Linked DNA regions of Caenorhabditis elegans. The protein of the gene in region 2 interacts with the protein of the main gene of each other region in a pairwise test. Each region holds a gene or a part of one and is shown on either strand. Other genes may lie near its edges.

Evidence for each region.
Region 1: the proteins of T04C9.1 (region 2) and ztf-2 interact in a two-hybrid assay, tested with the Caenorhabditis elegans proteins (2 studies listed by BioGRID).
Region 3: the proteins of T04C9.1 (region 2) and zfp-3 interact in a two-hybrid assay, tested with the Caenorhabditis elegans proteins (2 studies listed by BioGRID).

What each region holds. Positions count from the first base shown.
Region 1 is NC_003279.8:7,289,354-7,293,107, reverse strand, and holds ztf-2 (Zinc finger protein ztf-2), read right to left. Parts: upstream 1,837-3,754; coding exon 1,431-1,836; intron 1,267-1,430; coding exon 937-1,266; intron 884-936; coding exon 537-883; 3' UTR 156-536; downstream 1-155. UniProt on the Caenorhabditis elegans protein: Transcription factor. Represses gene expression, probably via binding to DNA consensus sequence 5'-[AT][CT]TTCC[AC][AG]-3' in promoter regions. May play a role in pharynx morphogenesis.
Region 2 is NC_003281.10:5,991,538-5,995,291, reverse strand, and holds the start of T04C9.1 (Rho GTPase-activating protein 26), read right to left. Parts: upstream 2,074-3,754; 5' UTR 2,019-2,073; coding exon 1,865-2,018; intron 1,788-1,864; coding exon 1,692-1,787; intron 1,107-1,691; coding exon 817-1,106; intron 408-816; coding exon 308-407; intron 1-307. Other genes in the region: T04C9.2 (uncharacterized protein), read right to left, coding at 3,062-3,412.
Region 3 is NC_003284.9:1,444,632-1,448,385, forward strand, and holds the start of zfp-3 (C3H1-type domain-containing protein), read right to left. Parts: upstream 2,013-3,754; 5' UTR 1,946-2,012; coding exon 1,858-1,945; coding exon of another isoform or gene 1,829-1,857; intron 386-1,828; coding exon 293-385; intron 246-292; coding exon of another isoform or gene 1-245.

The DNA.
Region 1 (3,754 bases), on a different chromosome or scaffold from region 2:
GTGATATTTTTACAAAAGGTGGGGAGCAGGTGGCAAAAAGGTGGGCGGAAGGTGAGAAGACCTCAAAAGGTGGGAGAAAGGAGGCACTAAATGCCGAGCAAATACAAATCAATAATATCGCTTAAAATATGAGTTTATGCAGTGGTGATAATACTTTTTTAAACAAGCGTATATTTCCAAATATTCGTAACGATATAAATAAGAACAATCCCGAAAAAAAGAGAAATCGGTGAAAAATGTGATAGAGAAATATGGAGGGATGTGTGATAGAAACATGACTCGTATAGTAGAAACAGATAAGGAAAATAAAATTAGCAAAGAAAATATGAATTCACCAGGAAGCTGAGAGTTGAGACGAGATTCGTATGTGAGTAGATACCTAAGATTTGGGGTTTTTTTGGGGTTTGTGTGCGTGATTGGCTAAGTAGAACAGAAAATATATTGGTTCGAGTATATGAACCTGAGATATTCAAGTAAAGAAGTGATAAATTGTTTTAATTATAAATTTTGAGATTATGGATTCAAGATCTTAAGAATTACATCTCAACGTCAACCATCTCATCTTGTTGAGAAGGTGTAAGTATCGTAGTTGGGATGATTTGTGGAAAAGATGTTGGAATAGTTGGACTATTCAACAAGGAAGATTGTAGGAGAGATGCCAAGTATAATGACATTAATGGATTTGGCTGAAGGCTCAGCAGAGCTGATTGAATGTCTGGAAGGAAAGATGGAGTGACTGGAAGTGTTGGTGACAACAGAAGAGGTGATGATCCAAGTTGAGGAGTTGGTAGGGATGATGTAATAATCGATGCTTCTTCTTCAGGATCTGTCTGAATTCCGCTGTCTGATGAGGATTCGCTTCTGCACGGGGATAATGGAGATGCTGAAAAAAGGAATTTAAATCATGAAATTAAACTATTTAAAATTATGGTTTACCTTTCTCATAAGTTGGCATAACGTTGTAAATCATATCAACATGGGAGCATGGACCATTGGAATGAGCAAGTGCTCCTTGGACATCTTCAAATTTAGCGCCACATCGACAAACACATGGGGAGGTGTTGTGAAGATGGCTTACATGACTGTTCAATACAGATACTCTTTCATCTTCAAATGAGCACAATTGGCAACGATAGAACACTGTTCTCTTTTCAGAAATTATGCATCGATCAGAGTCTGAAGAACACGAAGAATCCATTGAACTGTTGGTGGCATCGAAGACTTTCGAACGGCTGTATTTGGAGACAACACGGATTCCATGAGTTTCTGAAATTATTGAGGTTGGAGAATACATTTTCAGGTATAGCAGAAGCTAATTGATTACATTTCAAAAATTGTTCTAAGCTGCCAAACTTCAAATCTGACAGAATTACAAAAGGTTTAAAGCGAATTCAAATACCTAAAGTAATAGAAAAGTAATATGAACTCACTTGCAACATGTCGAATAAGGTCAGCCTTCCACTTGCTGGTTCTGGAGCAATAACGACACTTGAATGGTCTTTCACTGGTATGAACTCTCTTATGACGAATCATCTCAGACACCCATTTTCCTTGGTAACCACAGGTAGAGCAGGTGCGTGTAGATACATCAGGATCCAATTCCATTTTTTTCATTTCAATCTCATCATCTGGTCCTTCAATTGCTTCTTGTTCACTTAGATATCTCTTTTCAAATGGTTGATCGTCGGCTTTGCGAGCAACAAGAGCATCAAGAGTGTTTGATGGATTGGCTACTTCACCACGTCGTCTTTTACGACGATGTTCTTTTTCAGGTGAGGAAAGAGTTGAGAGTAGAGTGGATACGTCAAGGGCAGTGAGCAACGATTCACAATTCATCTTAAATTTACGAAATTTAAAGAATGCAATTAAAAAGTGGAAATGTTATAGTAAGTTTAGAAATGTTATTTTTTCAGTTGTTAAGTTTGCAGATTCTAATATTGAACCGAGATCAAAAATAAGAAAGAGTAGACCACGAATGAGAAAAAGTAATGAAAAGAAGGTGTGGGAAAATTTGGAGAAAGAAAAAGTATCAATGTACTTGGAACTGGAGGAACATTCTGATATCTATTTTGTCTAGAAAGACGAGAGAATTGGAGATAAGAAGTGGAAAAAGTGAAAGTTGCTCCAAGATAAGGGAAGGGTCACCAGGAAGCAAGCGCCGATTCGGGAAGGAATGGATATGGCAAAATGCGGATGGGGCGCGCGGTACCTTTTCGCTCCTACCACAGTATGTTGACACAAGTTTTGTTGGGGGAAAAAGAGGAGGAGGCCGAAGGGTGGGAGGTCGTCGCATCAGCGAACTGTTCACTTCCGGGGCTGACTGACTTTCACAGCAACAGCAGTAGGAGGAAGAGGATACGTTTACTTTTTACAAAATATCAGCAACACACAACTCTTTCTTGCGCTCGGCCACAAGGTTTTGGTTGGACAAACAGTTCGGTCAGTGAACTCGTTTTGAGCCAAAGCGTACGTGAAGTTGGAGCATGACGTGGCCATATTGAGATCGGATGACCGTTGATGGGAGGAGAAAGAGTTTTGGGAAAGTTATTTGGTATTGGCTCACCTGCTCCCAGTTAGGCATAGTGCTGCAGAGGTACAGGCGCAAAGGCTACTGTAGGTGGATATAGGGGACGGCTAGAAAAATAGAAAAGGGACCGTGGAGATTTTCAAACCCAACTAGAGTATTCCGAGATATCTAGTGCTTACTGTAAGTGAATGCAAAAAAGAAGAGTATGATGTGTATTATGAAGGTTAATTATTGAGAGCGATCATCTTTCGAAAAAAAGTGCACTTTCCGAGCATGAAATTGCCAACTCGGATTTCTAGAGAATTTTTGAAATCCAGGGCAACAAGAACCATTCCAGAAAAGAACGTATTTGAAAAGACTGCAATAGTAATTCTAGACGTCTTGTGGGCTTTTACCAGGCACAGGTAAGTTAGCCCTAAAATGAATATGAACTTACAAAAGTAGCTAGGTGCTTTTTTCTTTTCAAATAAGTGTAAAAACTACGGTAGGCAGTTACTCAAAATATGACGTAGAGTTTAACATAAACCTTACAAATATCAACTCGGGTTTCTAGAGTACTTCAAGTATTTTTGAAATCTAGGGTAACTAGAACCAAAACATATTTGAACATAATTTCAAAGATGACCTTCTTCAACGTCTTCAATGCCTTCTTGTTCCTAATCGTCATCGTCTTCTTCTCTTTTTCAATTCAGGCACATGTTTGCTCAAGCACAGTTTGCGTAACCACCACCATCGCCGCGGCGTCTCCTGCAGCCATTCGGTTTTTTCTCGCGCCCTCAACTTCTTCGAGGAAATCCAAATAGGAACAACCTGGTACAGAATGGTCGGAAAGGACCTCAAGGCGGCCCCGCACAGTTCAAACACATGACAAGCAGTTTTTAGGAGTAAAATGGAGGAAGTAAAGGTAATAGAAGAAGCATCGGTTATAGTAACCTAGATAAAGTAAAAGTGCATTTGTGCTCATTCGCTAGTTTCTGCCAAAAAGAGCAGCACTGTCAGCTCCTCGGTTCCAGGAGGTACCAGTTGAAGCTCTTATCACTTACACTTTTGCGCCGAAAACGTGTGGGCTGGAGGAATCACTTGCTGCTGAGTGTGCAAGTTTCACGAATGGCAACAAAAGGGCAATTGATGCAAATACTTTTTTTTTCCAGATTTTCAGACAAATTGCCTCTCGTTCAAAAATTGAACAATTAAGGGAGATGGTAGTCGTTTTTTCATCAATTTTTT
Region 2 (3,754 bases):
TTTTTTCTTCATTTTCGATGATATTTCGATAATTTATAGAAAAAAAATGAAAAAATATATTTTTGTTTAATTTTTAATTTTTTTTTCATTCTGGTCGAAATTTTACATGAAATCCGAATTTCTGTAAGTGAAATAGAAAAGTTTGTGATTTAAAATAGTTAGTTTTATTTTCAAAATTATAATCGAGACAAAGTTGTCGAAAATCTGATTTTTCAAGTAATTTCTATTTTTTTTTGTGAAAAATATTCAAATTTATAAAATTTGTATAATCATTCAGAAACTTTTTTTTACCTGTACAAATACTTACCAACATGAAAAAATGAAAGCCACGAATAAACATAAGATCCTAATGTTTCGACAAACTCGAACCGCATTCGTTCTTGAACTGATTGAACTTCTGCCACATACTGTAAATTTTTTTTATTTTTTATTTTTGAGAAATTATGTTGAATATACTTTTTAACTGAAAATAGCAATTTATATTGTACTATTTCCAACGGCAAATTCTTAAAAACTTGAATTACACTATTTAGAAAAACTAAAAACGAAAACTTTTGATTTTTTTAAATTCTGAAAAGGCAGAAAGTTTTTTTTTTTTTGAAAGAAATTTTAAATTCGCAATATTTCAGAAAAAAAATTTTTTTTGTTGATTTTTTTTAATTCGAAAAACCAAAATTCCTTCGATTTTCCAAAAAAAAATTTAGAAAGAAATTTTAGTCTAAAAATAGAAAATGGCCAAAATTTCATTAATTCTGAAAATTAAAACACAAATTTTTTCCAATTTTATAATTTGAAGACAACTTTATAAACTCAAACCTGTAACGAAGCTTGAAAAAAGTTTTTCTGTTGAGTCTCCAATTGGGCATCAGCGGCTCGAAAATCGTTATTACGAACAGTACTCAGATGAAGATGTTTTTCAAGTGTTTGATAGAACTTGCTACTTTCTTTGTCATATTTATTCTTTTCCTCTTTCAATGTTCTACCAATCGCCTCAGTTCGAAACTTTTTTATTGGTTCCAAATAACTTTCTTCAGCTTGTCCAACAAGTTTCATTCGTTCATCTTCGACTTGATTGATCAGACTTCCGAATTCTTTTAGACATGTGGCTGAAAATGTGAAATATTATTTCAAAGACAATAAAAATATTTATGAAAATTAAGCATTTTGGTAAATTACAATGAGAATCACTTGCAATTTGGATTTTGTTAACTTTCGATAGATTTTTTGGGAGAAAAAACTGAAACGAATTTTTTTATTGAAGGAAACTTATAAAAATTTCAAAATTTCACGAACAATTCAGATTTCGAAGGTCTTTGTTGGAATATTGAAATTCGAGACAATTAAAAAAATTTTAAAAGAGAGTTCAACACTATTTTTTTATTGTAAAAAATATGACTTTGAAAAATTTGGCAAAAATGAACGGTTGCTACGGCAAAATACTCTTTTTTGCTATTCCTAAAAATGTTTAAAATTTTTTTTTAACTATGGTAAATTAAAAAAAATTGAAATTTAATAATTTTAAAACATTTAAAAACATGTTTTCAGCAAATTTCGATTTTTCTTGGCTGGATAATAAAATTCCGAAATTAATTTTTTTACTGCGAAATTTTTTTAAAATAAAAATGTTTTGTACTTTTTTTTTTAACATCGCGTATTTTTTTATATAAATTTTTGCTAAACAAAAGTCTCACCAATAAACCGTTCATCATCTGTCTGATTTGTTCCGACTGTTTCAAACTTGAATTCACTTAACGTCTTTGCGAATGCTCGTTGTGCTGTTGAAAGCTCTGCAATAAAAATAATTATAAATTCCACGCGATTAAATGGAAAAGTAAAGGGTCAAAAAGAGAGAAAAGCCACATACTTTTTGTGCACGCAATCAGCTCCTTGCACTGATTCTCAATGAGCTTGATGTTCTTGAAAGCGTCGTCCAGTGCCACTTCGTGATCATGCAAATTTTGTCGAAACCACGGAGAATCGGATATCGAGTCCGAAAACTCGAGCGCCCGTAACACCATTTGTGATGAGCGCAGAGTCCTAAGTAGACGGGTTTTGTCTACTGGACAAGGTGTCCTGAAATTATTTTTGATTGGAATGATTTGCAGAGATTTTCAAGAGAAAAAGCCTCAGTGATAGGCAAACATAGAGAAATGAAAAGAAAAAATTGTCTCAAAATACCACAATTTTTTCTGAAACATGAAGGAAAAGATGAGTAGAATGAGGAGAAGAAGTAAACAATTAAAAGAAAAGGAAAGAAGAACTCGCGGGGGATATGGACAAGCGAAGAGAAGAAGAAGAAGAAAAAGAAGCAAGAAACTTGATACTTGAGGCGACGAAGGAATATCTATGAGTATCTATCTATCTGCTACATGAATTCTGACACTACCAATGGAATTAGCTGATGAACCGAGCAAGAATTGATATGGAAAATGAGAAAGGTAATCAGATAAATGAAATATAAAAAGAAAATCCATCACATCATAAATTAGAATAATTATGAAGCTGCCAAAATAAAACTTCCAAGTGTGACCTATTTTACGACAAAACATAGCGTACACCTTCACAACAAATTGTCTAATCGTGCGGGAATCAACGCACATCCGGAGGATTGAAGAGGTTGCAACAATCCTGACGATGACAGATAAGAATCAAACGGCAGTGCGTCCCTCCTACGTGTAATTCTTTCGTTACCTAACGATGCGTGAGCTTCGGTTTTGAGCAAGTTCGGGCACGTCGAAAACACGAAGGCAGCCGAGTGGAAACAATTTTCGAAGAGCCCCTAACCCGGCTCATAAAGAAGAGAAGCTGGAGGAGAGAAGATGCGAGAAAAGTAGTTGTTGCTTGTGCCTCAAAAAGAAAGAAACCGAAGATGACGATGTGGGTTCCAGAAGATGATAAGGATGGGGCTAATAATGATGATTAGGTAAAAAAGAACGGAAGTTTGAGACGAAATAGAGGAAAAGGAGAAGAGAAGTCATGGCTCGGATGAGGACGAAAAAAATGTTGGAGCGACCAACAAAAATAACCAAATTTGTATAGGAGCCGAAACAAAGTTATCGCGTTATTTGTGTTGTGGCCATGCTGTTGTGTGCCATCGCCAAAGAAGGAGAGGCAGAGGAGAAGGACGAGGACTCCAACACAATTCGTCATTTTTTCTAGCTTTTCTCATTTTTTCAAAGAAGAAGGCGACGACGACGACGACAGTGATGGCGTTTATGGATGGAAGGGATGACTCTTGCCGTCTGGAACTTGTCGATCCGATTCGAATCGAAAGGAAAGGCGGACGACGACAGCGGCAACGGGAAGCAGCAATGCGGAAAAGAACAATTCTCCGGGGGGAATGAGTATATATGGGAAGAACGAGCAGTAGAAGAATGAGCGAAGAGAAGGACTGCTTCTTCTTCTTCGTCATTTTCTTTGCTCCGCTCTCGTCATTGCAATGGCACAAATACATACACACACTTGCATCCGTCCTTTCGTCTTTAGAATATATCCTAAAACGAAACACTTGACAATATCAACGCTTTCTAGTTTTTCTCAAAAAATTCGAATCATAGAAACGAACGGATGAGTCGCGGCACGGCGAACGTCAGAATATTCGAGTGGTCGACGGAAAGCGATTATGAAGAGGAAAGAAAAACGACGACAGCGGCGACGGAGGAAGAAGTAGGGGAAGAAGAAGAAGTTGACGACGTCACAAGCGGAAGAGATGGGACCGCGAAAAATTGAAGAGAATGAAAAGCAGAAAAAGATA
Region 3 (3,754 bases), on a different chromosome or scaffold from region 2:
GTTCCCGGGTATCCATAGTCTTTTTTTAATAATAAATCTCGGTTTTTGTCCGCTTTTAAAATTACATTTTCCCATTTTTCCAAGACCTTTCAAAATTTTGCTAAAGTTCTGGAGAGTTCTATAATTCATTAAAATGTGAATAGTCGTATCTACGCTACATAGAAATAGGGGCTGGGAAAGTGGGAATCGGCGGGTGGGAAGAGCACATCTCCATCTCATTCCCAAGTGTCGGAGCTTCCATGTACCTGAAATGTGATGTTAGGATACAAATTCTAAAGAGTTTTCCACCTACCTCCATATTTCTGCCGCGTTGTCTGATCCTCGGGCTTCACTGGAGTCGTCTTCGATGTGGATGGCGCGGTGAGTGGTGTCGGTACGTAGACTGCTGAAAATTTGAAATTTAAAATTGAATTTGAACTGCCTATTGGAAATTATTAGAATATATTCAAGGAAGATTCAAATTTTCTTGTATTTTTAGAGTATTTTTTATCTAGAATATCTGGAATCTAGCAGTTTCTTGAAAAAATATCCACCGAGAAAAATGTCGGAACGTAAGAAATATGTCCAGAAGTATAACAATTGTTCAAAAAATTCAAAAGCTATCAGATACATGGAACAAAATTTGCCAGATTGATTCCGGTCTACTCAAAAACTCGGTCAACTTCCAGAACTTACCCGTACTTGCCAAAAAAGCTCCAGTGAGTGAGCAAAAGTCTGCAGCTCTTACTGAAGATATAGAACTTCCCTAAAAATGCCAGAAATCTGCAGAAAGTTAACAGAAAGTATTCAAAAGCCTTCCACATTTTCTTCAAATCCCATAATTTTTCTAGACTTTTCCAAACTTCTAGAAATGTTTTCGAAAACTGTACAACCCTTCAGAACTTGGCACAACTTGCCAGATATTTTCCATGCATTCTTATGTCTTTGTGAACTTTGAATGAATTTGCCGTAATCTTGCCCGATCATCACAAAACTTCCAAAATTCTCCAAAAGACCTCAGATCTGTTCAGGACATTTCTGAAATATTAAAAGTAGTCGCAAGTTTCAATCTAGTTTCAAAAAGCACCATAGACCCCCAAAGTTTAAAACGAAAAATTCCAGCTGTACTAAAATAGTCGGATTCAATTTTTCCAGCATTCTACTAGAGGATAGAAAAAAAAATAGGCCACAGCTTCAGCATAGTCAGCAAGTTGTTCGAAATCAGGCCGTTATCACTTTGTAATAATTGTTTCCCTATCCCTTTTTCTCGCGGAACCAGGACACATCTTATCTTCTCTATAGAAAATACGTAGTCACTGTTCTCAACTTGAAATTAGGCCCAAAGAGGGAAAAAGAGAAGAGCGAGAGCCTATCCTAAATGACTTAAGCTTCTGAGCCTTGAAGTGAAAGCCTAATAATCCAAGAAACATAGCTGGTTCCTGCTAGGTAGAAGCTTGAAGTTTTCCTGCTGGTCCCATATAGCCAAAGTTGAAGTCCAAGTCCAAGTATCTTGACTTCTGGATTCTACTGCTCTCAGCACGTCAGAGGTGCTCCAAGATGCCGAGGGCACTTCAGAACCTGAAAATTCGTGTCCAAAGCCCGGTCATCCCTTTCTGGGTATCCGACCACATCTGGGGCATTTCTGTTCCTCACATTATTTTCCTTCATATTGTGCGGTTAAAACAGAACTCTTTATTTCAATTGTCTCTCTGAAAACGGTTTTTTCTTTTTCGCCAACCCGGAACTGTGTCACAAAGAAAAATGAAAGTGCTTGATATCAAGATTCGAGATCGAAGAAATAGGATGAAGTGGAGAAGAAAATAAGGAACTTGCAAATTAGAATTCAAATTCAAAAATAGTAGAATTCCGATGACTTACCCGGAGAGTCGATGGAGGTGTTCGGGGATCCCACTGCTGGCAGGAAGGCGCCGTCCATTGTCTTGGTCGGGGTGTAGACGTCGGCCATTGGAGACGGTGTTGGTGCGGAGTTGAGCTGCTGGCGGCTTCTGCTGCTTCTGCTTTGTGTAGATTTTCTGGAAATTTTGTAAGAGTTTAATTTGAAGAGAATATTAGTGAATTTAAAAAAAAAAGAGGAAAAATCAAAGAAAATTTTAATTTTAAAAAGTTGAGGGAAACTAGAAGAAAACCAGGAGAAAAAACTCGCCAAAATCAGCCTAATACATTTTCGAAACGCGCAATGTGTGCGGGAGAGTGTTTGTGTGAGCGTGCGTTTCCCTATCGATCGTAGACACAAGAGACCCCCGGCAGTCAAATAGTGAGGAAATATCCCGAGCAGGCAGCCAGAGAGTGGTTAGAGATCGCCCGCAGTCGACGAGAGAGTGCAGGTGGCGAGGGAAAAGAGGCACGAGACGACGAGAGCGTGTATCATGTGGGCTGTCGAATGCGACCACTTGGGTCCCTCACCGATGTCTGCATACACACTGACGACAAGTTGCGGAGCGTGTTTTTTGGAGAATAATGGTTAAATGCATATTGGATATTGATGGAAGTTCATGAATTTTGTGAGTTTTTAAAATTTCAAAGCAATTTTTTTTTTGAATTTGAAGCTCAGCCAACCAAAAACTTATATTTTGAGAAAAGTTTTCAATCGAAAGACCATTCCAGAACAGTTTCACCAGAACAGATTCTAACGACTTTTCATGCAATACTAAAAACTAAAAAAGTTGATAAAAGTTTGTCGATGCACCATGATTTTTGCAATTGCTTCAGGAATTTTCAAATGAAACATAAATTTTTACAGATTCCTTTTTGGCTGGGAGCAGATTGTCAAAAAATCGATAAGACTACAGAAAATCAGTGGAGTTCAGGAAAAATAATTGGTTTTTGAAAATTATTTCTAGCTACATATAAGGGAAAGTATTCGACAGACAGGCTACCCGTAAAGACATAAAGCAGGAGTTAAATGGAATTGTGAGGAAAATTGTCAAACGTGCCAATTTGTTGAAAATCACAGAAATCGATGCACTATGATGTTAGCTTACAGAAACTTGAACCGAGTTTACATGAATTTTTTGGTGAAACAGAAATTTTTTCACTATCCTAGTCAACTGGAAGAATACTGTCGTTTTGAATAAATCATTTAAAAATGCCGTTTGAAAATAATCGAATCCAGACAAAAGTCTTCGATTTTGAGCATTTCTCACAAAAAAGTCCATTTTAGAGATTCTATGAATTAGGTTTACTATTTTGAAATTCACAAACTTTGATGAACCATGATGTTTGCTCTTAAATACGTGGACTAGTTTGTCAGAATCGTTTTACAGAAGGAACCTCTCGGATAAAAGAAAATTGTCAAGATAACGTGGAAGTTGCAGGGAACTACCAGATGTCAGGGAAAATTATTTTGAAGGGACTCAATTGACAATTAGTGCATGAAGGCAGACAATACAGGACTCGAATGATACTTTAAGAGAAATTAAAAAAATGTCGATGCACCATGATGCTAGCTTCCACAAATTTGAACCGCGTTTAACAGAAATTTTTGCAATTTGCTTGCCGGATAAAAGAAGATGAAAAACTTCTAGAAACGCCTGAAAACACTTAAATTGGAATCAAAATCCTGGAATTTTCGAACATTTTTCACAAAAAATCATTTCTTTGGCAATATCCTAGAATAATTTTCTGGAAATTAAGTGATTTAATAACCAATTTTTGATATAAAATTATTTATTTAGAGAAACTTTTCTTCTTTAGTAGCAGTTTTGTATGTAATCTTAAAAAAATGACAGTGAACAGTTGTAAATGAGCAATTCTA